2 linked regions of the Lepisosteus oculatus genome follow. The protein of the gene in region 1 purifies or fractionates together with the protein of each later gene. This does not show direct contact. Links are inferred from orthologs where the notes say so. Each region holds a gene or a part of one and is shown in the gene's direction. Other genes may lie near its edges. The genes, in order: reps1 and aak1b.

Evidence for each region.
Region 2: the proteins of reps1 (region 1) and aak1b purify together in Homo sapiens (affinity purification with mass spectrometry; 3 studies listed by BioGRID and IntAct, counting the BioPlex papers as one, with this or other methods). This does not show direct contact. The link is inferred for Lepisosteus oculatus from reciprocal best matches to the Homo sapiens genes REPS1 and AAK1.

What each region holds. Positions count from the first base shown.
Region 1 is NC_090697.1:20,321,435-20,331,317, forward strand, and holds the start of reps1 (ralBP1-associated Eps domain-containing protein 1), read left to right. Parts: upstream 1-5,798; 5' UTR 5,799-6,186; coding exon 6,187-6,339; intron 6,340-9,401; coding exon 9,402-9,525; intron 9,526-9,883. UniProt on the Homo sapiens protein: May coordinate the cellular actions of activated EGF receptors and Ral-GTPases.
Region 2 is NC_090697.1:72,602,917-72,612,295, reverse strand, and holds the start of aak1b (AP2-associated protein kinase 1), read left to right. Parts: upstream 1-5,713; 5' UTR 5,714-6,721; coding exon 6,722-6,884; intron 6,885-9,379.

The sequences.
Region 1 (9,883 bases):
TGTATTCCCAGATCAGTGCTATGGTGTTTCAGAGAGGTAGTCTTTTTTTCTGCATCTCAGCTGTGTCAGCACTAAGGATTCCATGAAAAACATGACTCTTGATCCACCCAGTAAAGTTTTTGACTTGGTCTTTTAGTGTATTATTTTCCTCTTTATATAATACTGTAACGCTTACGGCCGACAGGCACTGTGTAAGAGCCGGCGTACCAGAACAGGTGATGTCACCGCCCTTCCCTGTGATAGCAGGACCACAGCTACTGGGCTGTGGAGAGATCTCTTTTTAGCTCACGGGGCTAGGTCACTGCAGAGAGACGCGGAAGTCCCGGGTTCGAGCCTCCAGTCGGGATGGGGCCGACCAGATCCGGCAAGGGCGCCCGCCTGAGCCCCCGTTGCGTTACAATACTCACATCTGTATTATACAGTGTTATTAATTAGAGAGTTACTAATTAAATCAATTTCACTTAAGTAGTACCTATGTTTGCTTTCAGGTATCTTCTGGTAGTTTCTAAATTGTACCCAGTGATAAGGCTGATCCTTATGCTTAAGTACATAAGGGTGCCCATATTTGTTAACACACTAAATAATGAATCCCTACATTTCTTATTAAAAGATATAAGTTATATAATGTTATTCCTCCTGAAGTGACTCCTCTGTCATGTCAGAGTGCTATTAACTAATGTTGTATTTCCCAGCACAATTCTCTGTTAGCCATACAGTATTTCTGTGATTTCAGTTATATGATAATTTTATGCTGTTGCAGTTGCTTCTATGCCTTGAATTTATTATACCAATTCTCCATGCATAGGAGCAACAGTATATTTCCATAATGTGGGAAATAACCCTATTTGTCATAGACATGTTCAAAATATTACAGAAATAAATATGCAGAACAATTGCAAAATTTGCCCATAAACCTTTTATTTACAGTAAAAAATAAATTTGTAGGTGGCCCATCCAACTCAAATAAAAAGAAACCAAATAATTACTTTTTTATTACAAAAATGTACCTAATCATTTGCTCTAAAATACTCTATTAATGAATAACATTATGGCAAACATCATTGCATTTATGAAATGTTTTAGTTGAATCAAATACAAATAAGGAAATGTGCTTTAATGATGCATACATAGTAGTTTTTATTTCTCCTTTTACTGTAGATACTGTGATGTACGCTTCAGGGAAAAAATACATTTGACTAATTTTCTTCTGGCTTCCTCTCCAAGTCCTTGTTAGTGTATTCCCCTGTCTCCTGTGCTCTTTATCGATGTCTTTTTCCTTCTCACACTCTTGATCTCTCATTGCTGGTTTCTCTGCTGCCACAGCCAACATGTGACTCATTTGCCCTTGAGCCCTTGGAAAGCAAACATGATTGATCAGTTTCTTTGGCCAGAGATTAAATGTGGCACAATGATGTGGTTATTAGTTTCTTTGAATAAAATAAAAAAAGCTTAAGAAATGTCCTCTTATAAATCACCTTTTGTTTTTTCTGACTGCTGGAAAGATAGAAAACCTGGATTCATGCTGGTTAAACATAATTAACTATAATGTGGCGTTCTAGGGCAGTTTTCATGCTTCTACAGTATAAACTACTCTTTTTATTACTAAGTTTTTGGAGTAAATTCCATTATTTTATTCACTAAGTAAAACCTATAAAATAAAAGTAAACCTACTACACACAGTATATACTTCTTAAAGATTGTTACCAGTCAAAATCTTCCAAACACTCTTTTATATGTAACTCAAAGTAAATCAAGAGAAGCCAGTGTTTGGACTCCCTTTTTATTCCATTGTACGACATTACTCAAAATAATTCTTAGTCAATTAAGTGGAAGTGTCAAATAGGACAACAGATGCAACAGAATTAAGCAGGATTGAAATAGATTGTTTATTTTGTGTTTCTGATAAATTCATGTGAGTACAGTAAAATCTTTTTTTTTGCTTTTTTGTTTTAGCATTTAGATGTTCTGCAATGTTCAAATTGAAGTTAAAATAATTAAAAATATTTAAAGGCAGTATTAGAATGAATGCGAATACAAAAGCCTCACTCCCCTTCAAACGTGCTCTTGTGGCTAGAAAAGGAAGACGGTATACATCCTGTTTGTGGTTCAACCTTCTCTTCTTCTTACAGAACAATGGAACAATGTTCAGACGGCTAATGAATGTCACAGGTCATGACAGCCATTAGAGGAACAGATTGTGAATTCTAGGATTAAGTAATTTTGGAACAGCGGGCACATTTGCAGGCTTATCTTTTGTTTCAAGAATATTAATGGACTTTTTTTCTTTTTTTCTGCCTTTCTTTTTTTTAATTATATAATTTAAGCATGCCCAAAGGGTTTGGGCAACCAGTTGACCTTGGTCCCTAGAGGTGTTTTTCTCCTTACTAAGGAGTTTTTGGTTCCTCTCCTCCATTGTCTTCTGGTCGTTTCTGTTCTGTATTCACAACATGAAGGGTTACTTGCTTTGTTAAGCGCCTTGGGGCAACCTTGTTGTGAAAGGTGTTATATAAAAATTGAATTGAATTGAACTGAATTGGTTTTCATTAAAAAAAGTATAATTTGCTTCTAAATGTGTAACTTAAAAGTATATTAAGAAAACTGTCAGAATGCATTCTTCACATCAACTCAATATTTTCTTTGTACCATTTTTCAGGGAAGAAAGATAAAGGCAGTACAGAACTGCCTTCTAGCAAGTTTTAGCATAAAGCTAAACTCAGAGAAGATGATGACAGTAGTTGAAAACTACTGACAGGATGATGATATTGGGACAAATTAACTATTTATCACACTACAAAATATGAAGAACTGCAATTGCAAAACAGTGGTATTAACAGAGAAGGGCATCAGTAAGAAAAATGATAATGATAGCTCTGCACTCTGACAAAGATTAACCACTGAAAGGACCGTCGCCATTGGTAGGCTTCTTTATGCTATCGATATCTCACAATTTCACCTCTTGTCTATATCAGTGAGGACAAATGAAAGTTAAATCTAAGGACAGAACTAACTAACTTGTACTAGGAGGTAGAACAAGAAACAACATCAATTGATACAAATAGAGAATGGGACATGCTGATTTTCAGAAGGTTTTAGATAAAGTAACTAATACAAGATTAGTTTTTACTTTGTAAACAGTAGGCATTGCGTTCAAGTTACTGTGTGTTATTGGATTAAGAATTTGTTAATGGAAAGTAATGAGAGGGTACAGATAATTGATGAATACATAAATTGGGATAATGAAATTCTTTATTCCAATTTAATCAATTGGATTAAAAGGTGGATGCTGCACATTGGTGGTGGTGGAGGGTAATCCCCATTACCTGTAAAGCGCTTTGAGTGGAGTGTCCAGAAAAGCACTATATAAGTATAAGCAATTATCAATTATTAATCATCAATTATCAATCATTAATTATTAATTATTAATTATTAATTATTGTTATTATAGTTTTGCCCTCTGAAGGTACACCTGCTATGGCACCTTAGAGGCAGTCAGACATTGGCAGCCTGTCATTCTCTTTGGATGTGAACAAAAACATTGGCATACAGTCCCACTTTACTTTTATTTTATTCTTATAATGAGTTACCAACTCACAGTGAATTGGAAGCATCAATCATGAGAGCTGAAAAAAAATGTCACCTCTTTTGTTTGTCTATTGCTTGTGATGTTTATTATGGACGTGTGTTTTTTTTATAAATATAATATCCATTGTTCAGTTGTCATTAGTTACCCCCTCTAGATGCTTAAATTCAAGATATAGTTGAAACCTTTGTACTTTAATAAATATATTTATTCATTTACTGTGGCTTTGGCAAGCGTCTTCGCTCTCGTATTACCTACTGTATGTTTTAATGGATTTGTGGCTTTCTGCGTCCCTGCCATTGGACTGCCCCTGCCCCTTTCCCTTTCACCTTTGATGAGGCTCACTTCTTCCTCTGCTTCACCTTATATAAGGGAACGGAAGCTTCTGTGCTCTTTTTGTCTTCATCGCTGTTGAGCAGATGCCCCTACACTATATCTTTTTCTTTCTGCTTCTAGCACTTTCGCTGGCACAACCTGCAAGCCCCTCTATAAGCAATAAACCTGTGTGAGCCTGATTCATTTTGATTCAATGCAAGCTTTATTATCCCCCGGGGGAAAATTGTTTTATGGCAGAGTCCAACCAAACAATACAAGAGAAACAAACAGTCATCACCAACAAGACTACAGTACACATAGTTATAGGAGTTATAAGAGTTATTTTACATTGGATGGGAGTGATATTGCAGAGGGGATGAAAGATGTCTTTAGTCTATGATCGTTACACCTTGGGACATAGAAGTGTCTCGGAGATGGGGGATGTTTAAATTCACAAACATATTGCTCTTACAATTTACGGTGCCGAGGTGCCAAACCATCAAGTAAGATACTGTAGTATTGTAAAAACACTTTCAACACTTTATTTGTAAATTGTTTTTAGTTCCCTCTACCTTAAAGAAGCCAAGCTTCCAAAGAAGAAAAAGTCTCTATTAACCTGTTTTGAAATGATATCACAATATGGATTTTTGTCTATTACCAGTCCCAAGTTCTTGAAGTTGTTGGTCAGCTTTAATCACAGTAGGCTGGGGGAAATGTTAATTTTTTCCTAAAACTGATGATTAGTTCTATTGTTTCCAGAATATTTAACATCAAAGCGAGCTCATCACACCACTTAGTAAAATCATTCAGAATGAGCCCCTGATGATTTTCCATTTCCGTGTAATAAGGTGACCAGGGCTGTGTCATCAGAAAACTTAATGAAATGTTTGTCTGTGTGTTTGCTCTTACAATTGTTAGTGTACAAAATGTACAATATGGGAGAAGAGATGCAGCCCTGTGGTGATCCAGCTCCTGTTGTTCCTTCTACACCAGCTGACACTAGGTAAACTGAAGTATTATGTGGTGTGTAAAGGGAAAAGCATATTTTCAATATCTGTGGATCTGTTTACAAACAATATAGCCTTGTGACCCTCGTAATCTTGACAGCTCAGAGCTTCCTCTCATCTTCCATATGACTGCTCTCTATGTTTAGTTCTTGTGCATTTCCCTTTTCTGACACATTTGAACAAAAAGCAGTGTGTTGCTGGTATTTTTGTAAGCACAAGGCATATGCCTTTTCAGTGCTCATCCTTTTCTTTTTAATATTTGGTGCAAAAAACCTAAGTGTATAGCGAAAATCTACACACACTCACACTTGTTCTGTTAGTTGACAGGGTGATGAGGCTGTATGTCCACTTGCAGGTGGAGAGACTATTACAAAATTCCAATTCACACAGACGTATAAGGTCAATATTTTAACATTGTTTCAAAATTGTAAATAAAAATAATGCAGTTTACTTAATTAATTTATTTTTATAGGTGCACTGCTTTTTAAATATGCCCTGAATATTTGCTGCCTTTTATACGTTAATATAAATAATAAATAATATAGGGGGCAGTTGATACAGATCACATAAACATGGGATCTTAACACCAAATATAAATAAAAAAGTTTATTGGTATGTTCCTTCCTCAGGGTGACTCATTTTCGCAGCAGCTAGACGGTTATTATTTGAGGCTAGGCGTGGTAAAGAAAGAAAGCTGACTCGTCACTTTTCATGTAACAGGAGATGCTGCTTCACTGCCGTATCCATATGGACACTGCACAGAACCAGCAGCTGCTCCAGTTGCTGGCATGCAGTAGCCATGCCCAGCCCGCATGCCTGGCAGACGGGGCGACTGACTGTGTTGATACGCTCCATCCGGGTCTTCTCTCCTCCTCCCCCTCGCAGTCCCGAGACCTTCGCTGACTCGCTCTGTCTGTGTAGTGACGTCACGGGGCGCAGGAATGGCGGCGCTGGCTGTTAGAGGAAGGAGCCCAGAGAGCCTGAAACTTTATTTATACCATCAATCACTGAATTAAAAACGAGAAGAAAGAAAGAGAAGGAGAAACTTTACACAGCTACGGAAGGAAATACACGGAACTTTATCCAGTACCGCAGGCCTTGTGATTATCGACGTTTTGGGGGTGCTGGCTCACTTGATGTAGCGGTGCATTTGTGAAAGAAATCCTGCCCATTTCTTTCTTTTATTTTTAAAAGTTTAATTTTTCCCTTCTGACCTTTTGGTGCGGGGGATCGGTGGATATTTCGTCTCTGGGCTTTTAGCCGTTTGTCTTTTTTTATACTACCATGGAAAGTTTAACCCTAAGTGATGTGGAGCAGAAATACTACTCGGACTTGTTCACCTACTGCGACACGGAAAACACCAAGAAAGTGGCTTCAAACGGCAGAGTCCTGGATCTCTTCCGAGCGGCCCAGCTGCCCAGCGAGGTGGTCCTGCAGGTATAAACAGATCTGCCCGAACCGTAAATAGCCGACATAGCGGCGAAACTTTCCGCAGCACGCCTGGTTGAAACCGAGGTCGGTTTTAAACTGGGGGGTAGGCTTGGCGTTGACAATGTAGATCTGCCTACCGGCGCTCTTCCGTTTATTGCTAACTTCACTCTATTAGGTTTGTGGGATTTGGTTAAATCAGACGTGAAGTCTTACAGGCAAATATTTTGATAAATAATGTGCATGCTACGTTTTAAACGAGTAATGTTGACTATTTGTAGGTGGTGCGTAAGAGAGAGAGATGAGAGAGTTTCATTCTTAATGAGTGATTTACTCCTATTAGACTCGCACTGTTTTGGGCAAGTGCTTTTTAAATCACGCAGAATTAAATAGTTTATTTTCGCTCATCGACATCTTCCAACAGCAAGCCGCCAGTTCTTAAATGTGCACGATGTTTCTGGGGGGGTATTAAACCCCTTTTGTATAGGTGTGGCTATGGAGACGTTGCCCCTTTCCTTTTTTTTTGATCACGAGATGATTTCTCACCACATGAAAACAACTGTTTAACGGACACTCGGGAATCATTTTGTTCCATGTTACACATCTGTACACCCAAAACCTTCATTTTAGTATCTGACTATATTATATATGAACCTGGTCTGTAGTTCTGTGGCAGTGAGCAGCTTCCGGCCTACTGCTTTAGCGTCAGAGCATCGATAGGCATGATACCACACTGATTTTAGGGATTGGATGGTTGGAAAATTGTGTCGCGGCTGGTACCTATTTTTTTCTTGTTCGTTTGAAAAGTGTAAATGTAACTATTAGGCCCTTCAACTAGTGTACTATCAGTGCACACCCAATTACTCGGAGGCTAGGAAAAAATGGATTTGAAGTCCAAACAACAGCTGAAATCAATTCATCACGTCATTTATGCTAAGCATCTTGTGTTCTCATACATATACGTGCTGGTGGCTGATGTATTGTCTTGATTCAGTGTCCAGATGTTGAAGAACCGATAACAGGCTGAATTAAAAGAAATGGGATCTTGAGCTAGTCAAAACACTTTGTCACATGCATGTTTTAAGTAGCGGATGCTTGTTTTGCTGAATGCACTCAAGCAGTGCATAGAATTCCGACTCACTAGTGTCAAAGGGGTGTGTCGGGTATTGAGGATTTTTTTAAGTGTCAGTACAGCACGTTTAGTCACGTTCTGCCACTTCATGCTGTTGCAGCGGCTGATGAGGCAGATAAGAAATCGCTAAGCGAAAACACGTTTTGTTGGGCAGCAGTTTTGAATCCCTCTTGAGTTAACACCGGTGATACACAGGTCAGTTGATGATTCATAAGATGCAACGCGTTGTTCAAGTTAGAACGGGTCACATGATCCCAGAACACAATTTGTTTTTCGCACTGAGTACTTCTTACGTTTAGGGGACTTCCATGCAGTTAGGTTTACCCCGGTCTTGAATATATTCTTTCAGTTTAACTCTCCTGTTGACACACATTTGCAATTTGGTCGTGGATCTTAAGTCTGGAAAGTTTTCTGTAAATGCATGGAATTGTTTTAAAATTTTATACAATTCATGAGTAGGTGACTGACAAATAGTAACTCGTGAATCATGATTTGAAATCTTTCCAATTTTGCCATACAGTAGTAATTATTAAATGGGGAATGTTTTTAACACTCGATTTCATATTAAAAGTCAATGAGTGTAAATGTGTGAAATTGTGAGTAGTAACAGCATACTAAGAAATTCAAATAATGAAGACCCTTATGTGAAACAAATCTCCACATGTTGTTCTGTCTTTAGTATTTTTGTAAGTGCCTTTATTTACAGTAGAGCTATTCACACACCTGTAGGTATTAGATTCGGTTTAACGTATAAGAGGACGTTTTACTTTTAGACACTTTTGTTTTTGACTTTTTGCACAATATGTTGACTTTTTAATTTGAACATTGGGGATAATTTTCTTTCTAATAGCGGAATTGATCTTGGGATCAACCCTGTTGTTGTCTTGAAGGAAGCCAGGTTTTATGTTTTAGAGTTTCACATTTTTAACTGGATAACTTGTTCCAGGCTCCTGCACCCCATTTTGCAAACAAAATGTCTTCTGTCTCAGTATTTATGGACTTACTTAGCTGGACATCATACAGTTTTACTGAATTCCAAGATTTCACTGAGATCTGGATACAACTGGGTAAGCTCACATTGAGCATGCCTTATGTAATGTTTTTTCTTCATGATCGCAAGTGATATTTTGAGCATAACTTGGAGTCTGCTCTTTTATTGCAAGAAAACTAAACTAGAGGGCCCAAAGTTTGATTGTTAATTGCCAGCTGTTCAGCTGTATGATTAAAGCAGTAGTCAGATAGATTCTGCAATAGATGCATTTTTCATCAGGGCTAAATTTGTCTGTTTCCTTGCAAAATCCCAGCTAAATTATAAGGCATCCCAGACACAGCATTTGGCATGCAACCCCCTGAGCTGGTACATTCTTCTCATTCTGGTAGGAGTTTTATTTGTATTTGAAAACTGACCAGGGGCTTCCTGTGTTTAATAACATGTTTGACGGTACCTGTGTTAGTCTAGACATTTGCATCTGTTTGTTATAAAAGTACATTACATTTTGAGTGTACACTGATTTTTTTTTTGTAAAGGGCCATTGTATTTTATTTCAGATTAAATATGTTATTAGATATTAAGTGATGCTGTTCATGTTTTTTTTTCTTCTGAATTTATCAGACTTCTTATAAGATAAATAAGATGCTTTCAGTAGTTCTGAAATACTGATATTAAAGGCAGAACAAATGGGTTTTCTTCCCAACAGAACTGGAAAGGTGAAAACATGAAAGAACAGATTGATAAATAGGTATTGTATTTCTTATAAGTAATTTAAAATGTTATTACTAAGAATTAGACTGTCACATTCCTAGAGTATTATGTTAAAGCTAACAACCACACCTTTCTAGGTTTTATTTTGTGTAATCTTAGAACAGTAAAAGAGTGAAAAAATGAATGTTATGTAAAAAGGTCCTCTGAATATCCCAAAGGCTTTCATTTGTCTTCCAGATCACTGAACTATGTGGTGCAACTCGTCTTGGATATTTTGGACGAAGCCAGTTCTACATTGCATTGAAACTCATTGCTGTTGCACAGTCTGGACTGCCACTGCGGGTAGAAAGCTTAAACACGGGTAAGATGAGACTGGAATCCCAGAAGAATTGTTTTAGCTTAATTTTGTTTCTAAAATTTAGTGTTTTCATGATTACAATCAAAGCATGTCTGCATAGAGGATCTGTTTTTATTCTGAAGAGCTAATCATGTTTTTTTTGCCTCACTCTTCACCAGCAGTCACCTGATGGAGGCTTTATTGTTTTCAGGAGGTTCTGTCCCCATCCTGTTCAGCCTGCACATTTCCAAAGGCACTTCATAGAACTCCTGACGTTCCAAAAATATTGTTATGCTTAATTGTTAGATCACAATATATATATATTCATAGAAATCTATAGTGTAAATAAACATGGGGTTTAATTACATTGTTAAAGCTGACA
Region 2 (9,379 bases), about 52 Mb from region 1:
GTGTAGTTGTGACAGAAATGCCTGTAAAAGACTGTGTTTGAATCCTTGCTTGCTTTGACAGTGTCTCTGAACTGTCCCTGTGTGAGAGTGCATGTGTATGAGCCCTGCAGTGGAATGGTGTCCAGTCCAGGGGGGAGTCCTGCCTTGCTGCCTGTGCATTTGGAATACCTGAGACCCCTACAAGGAGTGAGTGGGATTCTGCTGTTGGATAGATGGACTTAAAGGCAGGACTTGAAATATATGCATTCACAAGTGCTTTATTATTATTGTTTTTATTTGCTCAGCAGGCAATTCACAATATACACAATAATACATCATACATTGTAAAATCATCCAAATTCAGTAAATAAGTAAAAATAGAAATGACAAAGAAAACAGCGAGGTAGGCACCACTTAGAATTGCAATGCCTGTGCTGCACAGAAGACAATGAAGGCAATGTCCGTGAAGAAGGGAGCAGTGTGTAGGCGAGGGATCACTGACTACAGTGAGGAAGGAAGGCCACTGAGCAGAGAGTTTCATCAGTCAGTGGTAAACATCTCCAGCAGGGCGACAGAGATCCTACAGGTAATGTCTGCACAGGTGAGGCCCGAGGAGACACGGAACGGAGGTCAGGGGCTGAGCACTCCTGATTTGAATGGGTGGTTCTCTCCTTCCCTGCCGAGCCGGGGGTGAGAATGCAGGGGCCCTGGGGGTGCAGGAGGGGAGAGGCGGAACAGTCTAGAGACAAGGGCAGAGAGAACAACACGTACACTGCATTATGGTTTGGTTTGTCGCCCTATAAAAGCAAATGTGTAAATGTCCCCCAGTGTCTCTGAGAATGATTTATTAGTAGAAAACTATTTCAGTCTGATGAGGATGCAAATCCCTTACACAAGGGTGTCCTTTTTGCATACTAGCACAGTGACATGAAGGAAATGTAGTGAAATGAATGGATGTGTTTTTTGCAGTGTACATTAGATGCACTTTAGCAGCTCCCCACCTGACAGTAGGGTGTCCCTTTATACAGTATATCTGTGATTCTATAACTGTGTATACAATGTATCAGACTTCTCAATAGTTTTCTTAAAGGTTATTCTAGATGCACAATACAGAAAGCATTATTTGCTGTAATGTTTGGTACTTTATTGAAATTCTCCTTCTTGTATAGCACCACACCCACAATAACATGTGGAGTTGTTGACCTGGTTAATTCTGCACTTTTAAGGGAGTTTCCTTCACAGACAGGGTAAAGGAATCAAATCTCTTTTGCCTCAGAAACTATTACCGATGGACCTGCGACAAGCTTTCAGAATCCTGAAAAGTATTCCCAAAACCAGACAAGTGGATTTGAGGATCCACGAAATGCAGACCAGAGAACACAAGTGCAAAGTAAATGAGGCATTAAAGATCTGGAACAAGAGTTTTACAAAAATGTCGAGGGAGTCTGAAACAAGCCATTTGCTGAATCTGATGCCATGAATAAAACTCTTAAAACAAAATGGCATTAAAAATAAATTAAATGGGCTTTTCTTTTGTTCTTATAAACAGGTAAATGCTTTTTCTTCATGTAGAGTGCAACAAGCAGCTTACGAAAGTAGTCCTAGGGGTTTGAATATGCAAAACAAAGCAAGAAACTACCCTTAAACAAATACTGTAATAATCAGTTTCCCTGTCCCATCATGCCTAGGCTGGACACGTGCTACACTTACAGGTAGTTGATATCATTCTGTTAATAGTGATATTACTTGTGCTGTGTCAATACAGAGCTTTTTATGTGGACAATATCAATGTTTTAGCATAACTATGTTCAATGTTGGAATCACTTGAAGATACAACATGACAGTCTAAGAATAAAGATTAAATGAATGACTGAATACATACAGTATTTAAGTAATAAACAGTCCACTTTTATAGACTCTGGCTCCTGTGTCCCTGAATTGGATTAAGTGATTAGACAGATGAGTAGATAGTGGATAGCCCACTTTAAGCAGTATTAAAGTACTTCTTAAAATAATGAATTATTCCATGACTGATATTTTAGTTTTGTTTCACATTTCAGACCATATATCATATACTGCAAGTAAAAAATGTTTAATCTGTCTAATCTGTTTACTTACTGCATTGTCTTGTAATTGTAATTGTCACATAGATCAATATAAAAGTATTTATTTAACACTGTTTTTCTGAGCTTTATTTTTATCATATTTGTCAATGATCTATCCCTCATACTTCAAGTGTGTTGTAGACTTTCTTCACAGAGAAAAAAGAGAAAGCAAGAGAGTTCCTTTAAACATGCTGGAGCTCGAAGGCCTGTTACAAATCACCAAAACGAAAAGAGGCTCGGGCTAGGCAGCTTGTCGGACAGGTGTTGCAGTCCAGCTGTATTATAAGAGCTGTTAGTCAGGAGTCTTATCAGAAGATGGTCAAGCTGAAGAAAATTATCTCAATAGGAAAGAGGGTTATAGAGAAGAAGGTCTAGTCCAGGTAAATAAGCATTACCACCAAACATCACAGGCTCTTAGAGTCTTAAAATGTCAGATCACAGAAGGTAAACATGCCTGGGTGTGGTCAGTACCATGATGGTAGATCTTTAAGGAAAACCTGATGACTCCTGGAAGCGGTGTAACCGGTCTGCATAAGAACAGGCTGCAATTACACAGGGACTACCAGTAGAGGCCGCCAAAGGTACTCCAATTTGTGTGACACGACTCCAGCTGTTGACTTTTAGATTGTGGTGAAGGAGATGGAGAAATACACTTTCTCGCTGGCCTTTTCTTGTATGTTCCCATCCAGGGAGACCACGGTATTTGAGGGTAGGCTCTACGGATGGTGATCTTGGCAGCACTCTTCCACTCTTTTTTAAACCACAGTTTCTAAAAACCAATGCCCCATTACAGTGACCTGGGACACTGTGCTGTGGGAAGTTGAGATAAGATGTTATTCTGTTCTGGATTTGTCAGACAACCTGGCCTGCTTGATGTTCCCTCTTAATTAAATTGATTAAGCAATCTGCTCACTTATCTTCCAGTTCTGTTGAGTAGAAGGGCTGCTGATACTGTACATAAAGATTATCATGCATCATTTTAAGGATCACCCTAACTCACTCACAAGGTGCAAGGCACTAATCAGATTCTGTTTTCATGGACCTCTTTCCCTGGTACCAGTTAGAACAATGCTATTTATATTATTATCCAGACTATTAATTTTGCCGGATAACACAAATAAAAATGTCACATAACTACGTGCATTAAAACTACTTTGAAATATTGCGTGTAATACAGTACATAGAAGATTAAAAACGCATCCAGCTACCTGGGACTGCTGACTACAGTCCCCAGTCGTATGATATAAATAAATTAAAGCTCATTATTTATAATTAGATTAATGACGTAACTGAGACTTCATATGAGATGGGCAAAAACTAGAAAACCCTATACAAGTCACAGACTGGAGCCTGAGTCCCCATTGTTAATGTATGTGATCCATGTAGGAAATACACTTTTGTATTGTACTGAATGGAACTGCACACTGTGACTGCATGAGATGCTTTTTGAAAAAAAACACACACACACCACAGAAAGAACAAAGACACAGGCTCCACCTGGTCTGGAATGAATACCTCAATATACCTTTGAGATATCCCCCCCCAGAATTAATATTTCATATTTTCCCAGTCTGTTTTGAATAGGCTTGACACACTGAGAAGCATGGGTCTTGTGTTGCTTTTAATCAAGTCAGAGTCGTAGAAGTAAAGAATTCTAGCTGTAGGGATTAAGAGGAGTTGCTTATTGCTGACTGTTTTTCAGTAAAGAAATAAGATTTCAGTGACTGTTAATGAAGTACATAGTAATGTTTAGGTTACAGTTTACTTTATACATGACTAAGTGAATGACTACATTGTTCTACTTCAATATTATATTGAATATATATATATATTTAGGAATATATTAGGTATATGGCTATTTAACATTCCAAATATTGGAATATTAATAACTACTGATGATCCTCATACTGCTAATAATAATTCAGAAAGAATAAAAGTATAGTGTACTAAATTCAAAGGCCATTTCCTTTACTCAACACAGAACATAAGCAGTGATGTGATGGCTCCCTCTTAAGGACGTTTTACGCTGTTACCTAGCAGTTATTTTTATATAGATACTTTAATGATCCAGTTAGGAAAATTGCATGTTTATAAGAAAACAGGAAGGGTTACAAACAAGAAGAGGTCATTCAGCCCAACTAGTCTGTTTGTTCATTTGTAGTTGATTGATCTGGGGATTTCAGATGCTGTTTCCTGAATGAAGCCAGCGTATTGGCTTCACCAACTCAGCCAGATAGCTTGTTCCACTCTTCCACCACCCTTTGGGTAAATAAAACAGTCTTCTGTTCTCTGGTTCATGTTTTGCTCTTCATTCTGAAGACGTCCACTGGGCGAGACTTTGTAAAATCCCTTGAAGATTCTGAAAATTTGTATCACATTCCGTTTTAGTCTTCTGTGTTCAAAACTATAAACGTTCAGTTCTTTTATCATGTCAGTGTGGAACATTTTGCTCATGAAGGAGATGTGGAAAATAATATTTATTTCTAATTATACCCTTTTCAGGTCAGTTGCAATAGTAGCACCAACAATAGCATCATTTAAGTAATTCTTATCCTGATTATTGTAATCGGTCATGAGACAGAGTGACTGTCATAATAACGTGCTCTAGTGTACGGTACCATCTGAATATAAAAAGGGATATAGAGAGAACGTGATGCACTTCTTGGTTGAAATGAATCTAGTCCTATATGTGCAGAACTTCTTTTGGGGGTAGAAAAGGCTATACAGATAAAATTATATTTAAAATTAATACTTAAAAGTATCCTAATATTGTTTTCATTTAATTGAGAAATTAAAACCATAAAACATCTATTACTTTTTTTGTTTTATATCGTGATATATTATGTGAATATTAATGCGTTATTTTAGTGCAATATTTATTTTCTACTATCGATGTTTTGTGTATGCCTGTGCATCTGTGTGGTTATATGCAGATACATATATACATAAGGAATTATGACTTTAAAATATATGCAGTATATAGATTATGCGCAGTCATTTATTGATGTACTGCATCGTGAAAGCTAGAAGGCAAAATGGCTCAAAATGTTTGCATTTTTGTGAATTAATTCTGACCGCCCAAGGTCATGGGCGAAGATCAGACAGAAAGGGAAAAAGAGATAGTCTCGGGTTCGTTCATTCATAGTATTCATTCCAAGATGTGGCCTTTCTGTTAAAACTGCAACATCTACACCAAAAACGACAATACCCAGTTGGTTATATATACACATATTATGAATTGAGGACTACACTACAACCTATTCATGTCGCTTCAGAAAGTTTCTAAGGATAGTCGATACCAAACGATATCCAGAGTTTTTCTGGTGAGCAAAAAAACACTACGAGTACCACAATGCTTTGAGAGAAAGGGGCTGATTTCTGTCAACATCGTATTTCAAACTACTTTTGAAATGTAATGCATTGTACGAGGCCGACACACGCATACTGCTCTGTACAATGATTTGGTTTATTTTTAAAATTGTATTAGGAAAATGTTTAATCGACTCTAATTGCGGATGGGAGTTGTAGTTCTTGAGTTGTCACTTTGCGCTCCTACTTTCCTCACCCAGTGGGTGTAAACCAGCCCGGGACTACAATTACCATCCTTCGCCGCGGAGTGACAGTAATTCAGATTATCGTCTTTATTTTTATTTTCAGATTTTAGGAAAGACGATATCGCGTATCTGCAGTGAATCTCAGTGCACCGAGGCCTAAAAATGCGATAGAGTGGAGAAGTTGTTTTTTCCATTTCCTGTTTTGTTGTATTTCCTGGTATGGGGACGAGCCGCTCAGCTGTTTTTTAAGAGCAAACCTAGACGTTGAAATAAACCAGAGGGGGTTTGGGAAAAAAAGGGCTCTGGTTAATTGGGAATTCGTACATAAAATAAACCCCACAGAAGAGGCCGAAAAGGCTTTGAAGAAATCGTGAAAGACAAGATAAATATACCATACTGATGGCAGGGCTGGAAGGAGAGATTTTCGAATAGAAACAAGCATCCGAACTGGGGCAGGATTTTTTTTTTAAGCTACACAATCATTGCACCAGTTCGCTCGCATCCCTGGCTGGCGTGATGAAATGAGTCTCTACCCATGCCTTATTTACCAAGGCTCCGGGGAAGCAATGGAGAAGACGCTGTTTTAAGCTGAGAAGGGAAGAAAAGAATAAAAAAAGATCGCTTAGCTTTGCTATTGCAATAATTGTATTTAACGCCTGAGCATCTTAGCGACATCGTCGGAAGGGGGTAGCTTTTTAATTTTCTTTATTTTTTTTTTATTTATTCGTCATGGATTCGGCCACTTGCTTCTGGGGCGCCTAACCAGTTTAACCTTGGGCTTTTCTTACGTGGAAGATAGGAAAGTGACAGCCGTATTGCAAGGGGCTGTTTTGCCAAAGCATAAGCAGACAGGATCCCTTTGGCACGTTTTCAGGTTCAGCTGAATAGCTGTCATAGCCGGGACACTCGCCGGATTTGGCACTTTTGGCGCTGCCAGTGTTATACCGCCTTCACACCGGAGCTCGAACCTGGCTGGGGCGGACCGGGACGTTTCCTTGGGATTGCTTTCTCTTTTCGCACATTGAACTTCTTTCCTCCTCCTCCTCCTCCTCCCCCCGTCCCGTCGTCCGACTGCCGGGGAAGATGAAGAAGTTTTTCGACTCTCGTCGGGAGCAGGTCGGCTCCGGCCCGGGCTCCGGCGCCGGCGGAGGCGGCGGGAGCGGGTCCGGCGGCGGCGGCAGTTACATTGGAAGGGTGTTCAGCGTCGGACGGCACCAGGTCACGGTGGAGGAGACGCTGGCGGAAGGTGAGAAACGGCCCGGGCACCCTCAATAGCTGCTGCTTTGTCAGTGTGGTTGATGTTCACACGCTAGCAAGTCACCGCTCACCGCTTTTCTGCAATGGGATGGTTAGCGCGTTTTCCACCTGAGGGCTGTTTGGTGAACTCTACCCTGTGGGCGCCACTGTGGACGTTGTCTGGGACTGGGCTCCGTCATACTGCAGTGCATGCTGTGTATGTGAGCCTAAAATATAGATCAGGCTTTAAAACCACTAACGGGTCCATACATGCCACACAGGTGCAGAGCACTTTAGCACTTGCACCCCATCTATAATAATCTTAGATAAGATTTGATTGTAAAGCTTGGACTCAGCTCCCTCAGTCGAGAGACCACACAGACCAGATCCTTCCTGTTCTTGTTTGGCCAAGCATTTTTGCTCTTTATGTGTGGAAGCTTATGAGGTGCTCCCCAATAGGAAACGGGGATTCTCAGAAGCACCCCCTACTTCTGCAAGAGTGGGAGGGGAAAAGTGTGAACCCCTTCACCTGATAATTCCCTGAGATTTTGGGCCCATGTGTGATGAATGAACACGGAGGAGGTGGGCAGGTCCATGTTGTTGTCTTCCTCTTTCCTGTCGCTCCGTTCCTTAGTCATCATGACATTATCTTGGTGAGTGGTTTTCTTGTTGCTGATACTTTGCGGTTTGCTCTACGTGTTGCTAATGAGCGACACCCTCTATTCGGCACCCCTCCCCACACCAGAAAAAAACCCAACAGATTGTCACAATAACTTCTGCAGGAACATACCAAGAACTGTGCATGCAGCAGTCTTATGAAAACACACTCACACATGCAAGTGGAGATATATCACACAAAGAAAAGGGTACTAGGTGTTTCCTCTAGAGAATCTATAAAGTTCGTTGAGGGTTAGCGTTAGTATTTGGATTGTGAATGAAGGAAAAGGTAAATGTATTGAACATATGCCCTGGAATCATCGGAGAGATTCTTGTAAAACTTAAACACATCCATATACTCAAAAAAAGGCTTCTCAGGAGACTGACACTGAGATTTTCTGAGACCGAGATATAAATAACACTCCCCATGTTAAAGCATTTCCAACCATTCCAGGGTTGAATGCTCCTCTGTATGACTCAACACGAGCTGCTGGATGTTTCATGCTGCTTACCTTTTTTGGGATAAGATGTGGAGTGCAAATATGAAGGAAAGTTCTTTGCCTGGTTAATTAACCGAGTTGCAGAAGCAAATCCGCACTAAGTTCAAAAGGCGAATTCATACGTTCTGTATGACATGGAGCAAACCAAAAAAAAAAATGAAACCGTGCTCCTTCAGTCACAATCGGTTCCATGAACCTTGTTTTGTGTTATTTGTATTCTACACACCTGTGCCTGCTTATATGCTTACCAGAAACGTCCCAAGCAGCTGTTCTCTCTGGCTTTGATTTTTAGAATTAGTTTAGCGTGTGGTCGCTGGTATATTGATCTGTACAATGCTTTTGAAGTGTCCAGGATAACAAAGATGTTTTGACATAAGATGCATGGTGGAATTAAACGGCCAGCGCTCACCTGAGAATATCTGAGGTGGGTGGAGAGGAACAGCTGGATCTGTGCCACTGGGCTTGCAAGCCAGGATGTCTCCAAGACATTGTGGGCTTCATTCGAATGGCAATTGCAAGGACAGCATGTTCCCTGGTTTCTGCAATATAGCCGAACAGCTACGCCTTAAAAGCAAAATCCAGCAAGTACTGCAGTCAGCAGAGAAGGCCGTGAGCATTCACAGCTTAGGTTCTTGTGTAAACAGCTGTGTGCTGAAAAGGGAAAATAAATTATTCTAAAATAGCTGCGTCGGTGGCAGATTCATTCAAAAATCAATTGCATCAAGTGCTTCAAAAGCAGTGAAAACGGTGCACATACTGTACCTATCCCACAGTAGAGTTAATCTTTAAGCAGAGTATGTAGTGGAACCCTATGGCCAGGGGTAATAATGTTAATGTAATAATAATAATAATGTTAATCATAAGAATGTTTCTTTATTAGCCCTGTACAATTTCTTGCATTAGGAATTCGTCTTTTTGCATACCACAGCTTTTCTCCATGGAGACACAGACACACAGACAGGGAGAGAAGCTTGGGTTCAGAGCGCAGGGTCTGCCATTTTACAGCGCCCCTGGAGCAGTTAGGGTTAAGGGCCTTGCTCAGGGGCCCAACGGAGTAGGATTCCTCTGCCGGCCACGGGATTTGAACCGGCAACCTTCCAGTCACAGGCGCGGATCCTGAGCCACAGAGCCACCGCTCCGCCCTCAGACTCGAGTCTGGAGTGTCTTACCTCTGGAGATCAATGGTTCATGTTCGGGCTGTGAATCTCATTGATTGTGCCTGGCAGTCTGCAGCCAGGAGCTCAGCCCTGGACTGAGCCCTGTAGGACCCGTCCAGTTCTCGGTTCTCTGGACTGGGAGAAGTTGTCGGTGCACTCCCAGCGTGTCCTGTTCTGGATGAGCTGCGCAT